2 linked regions of the Coturnix japonica genome follow. The protein of the gene in region 1 purifies or fractionates together with the protein of each later gene. This does not show direct contact. Links are inferred from orthologs where the notes say so. Each region holds a gene or a part of one and is shown in the gene's direction. Other genes may lie near its edges.

Evidence for each region.
Region 2: the proteins of AKAP17A (region 1) and RNPS1 purify together in Homo sapiens (co-immunoprecipitation; 4 studies listed by BioGRID and IntAct, with this or other methods). This does not show direct contact. The link is inferred for Coturnix japonica from reciprocal best matches to the Homo sapiens genes AKAP17A and RNPS1.

Annotation. Positions count from the first base shown.
Region 1 is NC_029516.1:116,242,508-116,246,609, reverse strand, and holds the start of AKAP17A (A-kinase anchor protein 17A), read left to right. Parts: upstream 1-1,302; 5' UTR 1,303-1,427; exon of another isoform or gene 1,428-1,592; 5' UTR 1,593-2,008; coding exon 2,009-2,770; intron 2,771-4,102. UniProt on the Homo sapiens protein: Splice factor regulating alternative splice site selection for certain mRNA precursors. Mediates regulation of pre-mRNA splicing in a PKA-dependent manner.
Region 2 is NC_029529.1:12,010,149-12,014,439, reverse strand, and holds the start of RNPS1 (RNA-binding protein with serine-rich domain 1), read left to right. Parts: upstream 1-1,491; 5' UTR 1,492-1,674; coding exon 1,675-1,676; intron 1,677-4,291. UniProt on the Homo sapiens protein: Part of pre- and post-splicing multiprotein mRNP complexes. Auxiliary component of the splicing-dependent multiprotein exon junction complex (EJC) deposited at splice junction on mRNAs.

The DNA of each region.
Region 1 (4,102 bases):
CAGCCTCCAGCTGACAGTATGCAAGCTCTATGGAGACTGTCCAGCCCCATGTATGTGGCCTGGATATCTCACAGCATCCTAAATAACACTAGTTGTTTATACAAACAAATTCTGTCCTGTTGTTTTGTGATGTTTTTTCACAGACGTGACATTGAGTTGATTCTCAGGAAAACCACAAGCTGTCAGAAAGGTCAGAAAGCAGCAAGTGAAAGGTTGTCTTCCTTCGGAGGTGCTCCTCCTGCCTGGAGACATTAGTCAGAGCACTGTGATCAATGGCACAGAGCCTAGTTGTAGGCCTGTAACTAGTGGTATTCTCCACAAGTCAGTGCTGGGTCCAAGCTTGTACAACAGTTGTCAGCAATCTGGATGAATGGATAGTCTACCCTCAGAAAGTATAATGATGTAGAGCTGGGGGGAGTGGATGACACACTAGAAGGCTGTGCTGCCATTCAACCAGAGCTGGACAGGCTGCAGAGTTGGGCAGAGGAACCTGATGGGGTTCAACATGAGCAAGTGAATAGTCTTGCACCTAGGGAGGAATAACTGCATGCACCAGTACAGGACAGGATATGACCTGCTGGAAAGGAGCTCTGCAAAGAAGGACCTGGGTGTCCTGATGGACAATGTGCTGGCCTGGTGAGGGCACATCTGGAGTGCTGTGTTCAGTTGTGGGCTCCTCCATTCAAGAAAGACAGGGAGCTATTAGAGAGAGTCTAGTGGAGAGCAACAAAGATAACTGGTGCCTGGAGCATCTCCCTTATGAGAAAAGGTTGAGACTTGGGGTGTTTCACTCTGGAGAAGGTTCTGAGGGTGTCTCATCACTGTTCACCCGAAGTCCAGGAGTCAGGTCAGTGGAGGTAGAGTCTTTTTGGTGGCATGCAGCAATAGAAATAGACCCGGGCTGGAAGGGACCTCAAGGATCATGTAGTTCCAACCCCTCTGCCTGGCAGGGCCACCAAACATACACATTTACTAGATCAGGTTGCCCAGGGCCCCGTCCAACCTGGTCTTGAACACCTCCAAGGACGGGGCATCCACAACCTCCCTGGGCAGCCTGTTCCAGGGCCTGACCACTCTCCTAGTGAAGAACTTCCCCCTAACATCCAACCTAAATCTTCCCTCTTTTAACTTAAAACCATTTCCCCGTGGGTCCTTTCCAACCCCAACGATTCTATGACTATGCTCTGAGAGAGAACGCAGACATTGCGAACACAGCCCCGCACAGCCATCACTGCCCAGCTTCCACAGCCTCCGCCCGCTCCACATGCTCCACCTCCCGCTCCTCCTCGCTCCGCCGCCGCGCAGGCCGCCATCGCGCACGGCCAGGAAGCGGAAGCTGCTGTGGAAGCTGCGGCGGCTCCTCTGGGCTGCTCGCGGGGCTGGAGGCTGTTTCCTGGGGGTCCCACCCGGCCCGGCCCGGTCTGCGGGTGAGGCGGGGAGAGGGCGGGGAGCCGTGCCCCCGCCGGACTCTGTTGGGGTGCCGCTGGTGTCGACATTGGGAACGCTGTCGTAGTTCGTAGGGGTGAGGCTGCCGAGGGCCGGTGGCGGGGCTGCGGGCCTTTATGTAAAGGGGTGTTTTTGTGTCGTTGCAGGCTGCTGGCGAGGAGCCTTCCTGCCGGCGAACGAGGCACCCGCCGCTGCGCTCCTTGTTGTGGGTGCGTTTGTTGTTCGGAGCGGGCTGAGGTCGCTCCCGTTCCTTCCTCCCCGGAGCCGGGGGAGCTCGCCGGCTTCGTGTGTGCCCGAGATTGCCGTCAGCTCCTTTTCTTCTGAGGCCTTGCTGAGTTTTAATTATTTGTAGGTTCTGGTGGTTGTAAAGTAATTTAAGATGTTTGTGCTGCTCGGTTTTAACTCGGTAATTGACTCTTGTCTTAAGAGACGTTGGTTGGGAATGGTTAAATGTCCAAAGAATGTTTACGGATAAGGGCTGTTTTATTTGACTACTGTGAGCCTGCAACTTTAAACTTGCATCTTTATTTATTTTTTTCTTATCCTGTGCTTTTTCTGTGTTATGGCTGCTGCAACGATAGTTCATGATACATCAGAAGCCGTAGAGCTCTGTGCTCCCTGTGGGTTATACCTTAAACCCATTACAAAAATGACCATCAGTGTGGCACTTCCTCAGCTGAAACAACCCGGAAAGTCCATCTCGAACTGGGAAGTGATGGAAAGACTGAAAGGGATGGTACAAACCCATCAGTTTTCCACTCTGCGGATTTCCAAAAGCACGATGGATTTCATCCGGTTCGAAGGAGAGGTTGAAAACAAAAGTTTAGTCAAGTCTTTTCTTGCGTGCCTTGATGGAAAAACGATCAAACTGAGTGGCTTCTCCGACATCTTAAAAGTCCGTGCCGCAGAATACAAGATTGACTTTCCTACCAGGCACGACTGGGACTCGTTTTTCCGTGATGCAAAAGATATGAATGAAACTTTGCCAGGAGAAAGGCCGGATACCATTCATCTAGAAGGCTTACCTTGTAAGTGGTTTGCAGCAAAGGACTCTGGCTCAGAAAAGCCAAGTGAAGAAGTCCTGACAAAAGTTTTCCAGAAATTTGGAGAAATACGTAACGTGGACATACCCATGTTGGACCCTTACAGAGAAGAAATGACTGGCAGAAACTTTCACACATTCAGCTTCGGAGGCCATTTAAATTTTGAGGCTTACGTTCAGTATCGGGAGTATGCAGGCTTCATTAAAGCCATGAATGCCCTGCGAGGAATGAAACTGATGTTTAAAGGCGATGATGGCAAGGCTGTGGCTTGCAATATAAAGGTGAGAAGTTGTTGTCACTGATAAATGTGAATTCCGTAGTCCCCTGTATTCCATACAGTTGTTTACTGTAGTGCTGAGAACAGCTGATGTTACTGTAGGGTTTGAGGAACCAGCTGTAATGCAGTTTTAAAAGGGAAGTGATAGAATAAACATGTTGTTAGACTGTAAACAAAGCGGGGTGAGGCTTTTATCTCTCTTTTTTCCCCCCCTAAGCAAAACATTTACTGATGTAAAAACAGCTAAGGAACTACCAGATATTGTGAACATAACTTGTTAACTGAATTTTAGAAAGTAATGTATATTTTCAAGTCTTGTGATTTAGTTTATAAAATAATCTGTAGCAAGTTCAGACTCGCTAAGGCTGAATTGAAAGTGCATTTTCTTTTATGTATAGTAACAATTAGGAATTCTGGGAAGAGTGACAGCCGTTATATTTGATACCTCTGCTGATAAGGAGATCTATCTGTCAAGTGTCGGAACTGTGAGGCAATGCTATGTGGCCTGGATGGCCTGTGGAATAGAGAGTTAATAGTGATTAGTGTACTTTGTGAACAGAAAGGCCATTCAAACATTGAAACAATACTTAGCTTATTCCATACGTTTTCTGTGAATCCAGTGTGTTGTATTCATAATATTTACATACCGACTTCTCCAAATTGCTTTCTCTGTTACTTCATTGTCGTAGGAAGTAAAGTTATTGATGGGAGATGATGTGGAACAAGTCGGTCTCTCCAGATGTTATATCTGTGCAAGTATGGCTTAAGGAAAGCTTGTTGTGATATATTTGGGGACTTGTCTGTGTATTTACATAATGGTTGAATTGCTTATTTATTTCAGCACGCTTAATTTTCATTCATCAAGTCAGCAAGTAGATTTCGGGAAAAAGCTGAAGTATTTATGTAATTTGGGAGCATTCAAATATTAATTGATTAAGTTGTAAGTTAGACACTTATTATCTTGTTATTAAAGTTGGTCAGCTGAAGCACAGACATTGCTGTTCGTATGCCCTCCTATTCTCAAGGGGATGTGAAATTCAAACTGTCACTTGCATGCAGTGGATTGAGGTTCCCAAATTTAGTTTCTCTGTGCAAGAGAACGCATGCCTTCCTAGCAGCTGCCCTGGGATTGATAGCAAGAGAGAAGGCTGTGTCTGTGCTGTCAAGACAGATCGCTTTCATGCAAGGTCACCAGACTGCCCAACTCTGTTTCTACAGGGCTTTTATTGAAGCATTACTTTTATGTTGTCTGAACAAATTAAACTGCACAGTATGTATGCCTTGTTCTGTGCTCCATGGTTCGTGTCTTCCAAAGTACAGTGGCTTGTGTTACAGA
Region 2 (4,291 bases), on another chromosome or scaffold:
TTAGTAATTTAGTCTGCCAGGAAAAATAGAAAAAAACACCCCTACAGATCTCACAGTTGACAGCCATTCCAGCCAGCAATGGGGGAAGGAAAAAAGCTGAAGTGGACAAATAGTGAGGATTTCCTCGGGATTCATCTAGAATGGATGCAGATGAGCAGCATAAAGGTGCTGGAAATAGCCTCTAAGCAGACAATGGCTGCCAGGGTCGCCCTGTGAGTGGTGCTGCCCTTCCAGGCAGACTCCTGGCAGCACACACAGCCTGCAGCTCCTGTAGCTCTGCCCCAGCTCACCCAGTCTTCCTAAGGCCCAACATTTAATCCTAAGGGTGGGAAGCGTGTCCTCACTGGGGCTGCAAACTCCAGCCTGAATACTTCACCTTGCCCCTCGGATGAGCACATAACCCCTCACCCAAGCAGCAAATGCCTGACATCTCTCAGCCTACAAGGGACAGGCCAGCAGCCCTGAAAGCGCTTTGCTGGAAGCAGCACGGAAGTCTCCAGCTTCAGGAGGGCAGTGCATGTTAGACTTGCTTGCGGAAGTAGCTTTAGAAGCAGCACACGCAGCAGCCTGCGCTGTAGAAGTAGCAGTAAAATGAAAAGATCCTGTGAACACAGGGAGGAGCTCAGAGATGCCTCTGCTGCAGCACATACACGGCTGAGCACAGCTCAGCACAGCTGGGTGCTGGCACAGGCTGGGGACAGCCAACAACCTCACACCTCCCATGGCCATCCAGGCACCGGCAGTTGGGTACCCTGGCCTTGCTTCAGGGTGCCTGGAAGTCTTCCCAAGGCAGCCTCCAGCAGCACGTGTCTGTGTGCACAGCAGAGTCAGCCCGTTCCTTGTATGAACCATGCGTGATCGGAGCAAAACCAATAAACACTGAGCTCTTAGTGCCTCCTGCCTGCTGGAACTGCTGACCTGAGCCTCTGTGCTTCACCTCCCCACGTCCCCTCCCACTCATTCCATGTCCCTGGTGGCACCTTGGCCGCCTCCACGCAGCCTTGGCTGCGCACAGTGCCCATGTCACCAGTGGGACGTGGTGCAGTGTCTGTCACCTCAGCCATGATGTGGAATTACCAACAGCAACAAGTACAAAACCACGACACCCCCCAAAGCAGTGGGAGCTCAAAGCTTTCCCCTCGTGCTGTGGCCCATTAAACATCATTAACTATGAGCGTAAATCCGCTTCTCCCACCCCAGTGTCATCCCCAGAAGCGCTGGCACTTGGTCTGCTGTCCCATGCAGCATCTCAGCTGAACCTCCATCTGTTGTATTCTCTGGGGGGCTGGTGGCCATTCCAAAGCTGCACCCACACCCACTGAGATCTTATTTCCTTTAAGAGCCAGTTCAGCCCTTGCTGTGCTCTGCTGGAGCAATAGGGAAAGGCTCACGTCCAGCTGCTGACACTGAGAGCCAGCTATGCATTGGGAAGGTCACCATTCGTCAGGAGCCATCACGGACATGATGAGGCGGACATGGCGGTGCCCATAACGGCACGGGCCGCCCACAGACCGTGACAGCAGGACAACATGGATCCCCTGCCCGGCCCCTTTAAGGCGCCCACCTCCCCTCCTCCCCCCTGGTGACGTCATCACTGCTCGCCACACGTTCGCTCTTCCCGCTCGTTCTGCGCCAATCGCGCGCGCCGGGCCCGGAGCGCTGAGAGCGCCGAGGATGTGAGTGTGTTGGGGCTGAGCGCCGTGCGGCCATCGGCCGCCATCGGCCTTTCATCCGCCTCCATCCGCCTCCATCCGCCCCGCCGCCGCTTCGGGGCGGCACCGCCGCATCTCGGGGCTGCCCAGGGGAGCGGGCGGGAGCCGACGGAGGGGATATGGATGGACGCGGGGGATAGGGATGGCGCCGCGGCCTACCGGGGGCGGGGAGGAAGGCGGGAGGCCGGGCCGGGGCGGAGCCGGGGCTGAGGCCTGCAGCGGAGTTGGGGCCTGGTGGTCCCGGCGCCCGGCAGCGGCAGAGCAGCGAGTCGGGAGCGACCCGCGGGTCTCGCTGTGCCCGGCGTCGTTCCGCAGCCTGAGAGCGGCTGAGCCCCGGCCGCTCTGGGCCCCGCGCTGCCATGAGCTGGGCCGGGGGCGTTGAGAGGAGCTGCCGAGCGGGCTGACCTTAAATCACGCGAGGAAAACTTTGCTATAGTTGTTGTTCATATAACTATAAACAAGCTGCCGTTGCAGGGCGCGCCTGCCCTGCAGGAAGGCTGAGGGAGAGCCCAGGTCGTTGCCTTGGCTGCAGCTCTCTGTAAGAATAGGTCTCATAGCTGACTGTGTGCAGGGAATGGGCAGCTTAATAGAGTGCCCCGAGGCCGGCTGGGCTGGGCTGGGTGCTGCACAGACACTGAGATGTTGGGGATGTCGGGTTTGGTTTCCATTCTTGGAAGGGTGGATGTTGCTTAGAAGTTCCTTGTGTTGTTTTAATGTGCTCATGCTGCGGTGTTATTCTTTATGGAGGTGTGTTTTAGTGAATGCCTGAGCACCTACAAGTGAAAGTGCCCAGAGGCTGCATCTCCCAGGCTGATCTTTCCAACTAAAACTGTCCTGGGAAAGGTCTGTGTTCATTGGGTGAAAGAAGAACACTGGTTACCTTAAGGGCTGCCTAAAAGCAGCCTTTCACAGGAGGTTGCTGGATGTGTAAGCAGCATTTGGCTGTTTAGTCTGGTAAGTGCCAGCCCTGTGGGTGCACACAGGAGTGCTGCTGATGGTGCTGTTTACATGCAGCTCTTCCCAGCTCTCCAGCAGCAGGCAGGACATTAGCAAAGCACTTGTTGGGCTTCTGAGCTCTCACTTCCCATCTTGCAGAGAGGTGGAACTGGGTGATCATTAGAGTATGTGATAGATGCAGCCCTCTCATAGGAAATGTTTGGAATTGAGCTGTCAGAGTTCAGGTTTTACATGTAAACAGTTAATAGTTACACATGCAGCACACTGGCACACACGTTCATTCTCTTCCAATAACTCATTAATGTATGTTCGTGTTCCTCTGGGCATGCACAGTTACACTGAGGGTGGTTGCTGGTTGTATGCCCACTTACTTTGTCCCCATTTTTCCACCATCAGTTCCATCACTGACATTTTTGATTCACCTGGAGCTGGTTTTCCCCAATTTTGCAAACGTCCATTGCTTCTTAGGCCATAATGGGCAACTTCCAAAACAACGTGTGTGGAAATCCAAGGAAAGCGTCCTTGCCCCTGGTGAAATACAATGACCAGTGGTCTGTCGTGACTCCAGTGCTGCTTATGAAGGGGAATTGAGAGAAAACAAGGCTGATCACACACCAGGCAAAGCAGAAGTGGAGAGTTTTAGGACTAGTGCTCATTGATTCCTTTTGCTGAATTAATATATTGCTCCTCAAACTAATATACTGATCTCTGTTGCTCAATGAACCAGCCTATATTGTTACTCAGCAGCCATCTCTTCCTGCCAAGCATGTGCTTTGCTGCACAGGGTGACTATGGAAGAAACCAGAGCTTCCTCTGGAGATGAGGATGTTGTCAAGAGGCAGGAGCTGCATGTGTGCCGTGTGTAGGAGATGAATGTCCTCTGTGTGCCTTCAAGGGGAGCACATAGCGAGGGTCTTTTGTACTTCTGTGAATATCACAATTTGTAACTTTAAACACGCATACAGGTCTGTATTCCATGAAGGTTGAGCTGGCCCAGGGGCTGGATGTAACTGCCATGCAGTGCTGTGCCTGGCTGCAGTGCCCTGGAGAACACACTTGTCCTCTGGTGTGCTGCCACTGGTGCACAGCAGCTCTGCTCTTCTGTGTCTGTTCATCTTGTTTCTGAACACTCTTACCTTGTCACTTGGCTGCTCTGTTGCTTTCAATTAGGGGTCACTTCTCAGAAGCAAGGGGTTAGAACTGAGATTTGGCACAAGTGAGGCCTGTTTTGCTTTGGATACCTCTGAAGGGGAAACAGAGTTAATGGGAATTAAAAAGAAGAGTTTGCTGGGTCTTAAAGAAAATAACAAAAAATCCAGCACTAGGTAATCATTCCAGATTTTCAAGGCCTGCTGGAAGCGGGGATGCTGTAGGGTACTGGGGCTTTCCCAGTGAGGGTAAGGAGTTGAAAATATCTCTGTGGGTGAACTTACACATGACAGTAAGTTCTGTGTGCTGGACCTGCTGTCCGCAAAGCTGCTACTCTGCAATGTAACACATTTTCCTTTTTCCTAAAAAGCTCGAACTTACCTAATGCTTTAACTCTGCTCTTTTGGTGTCTTCAATTACATTTAAAGTTCAGTGTTTTGTGTTGCTGTTCTGTTCCTTGTTTGAGTGTGTTT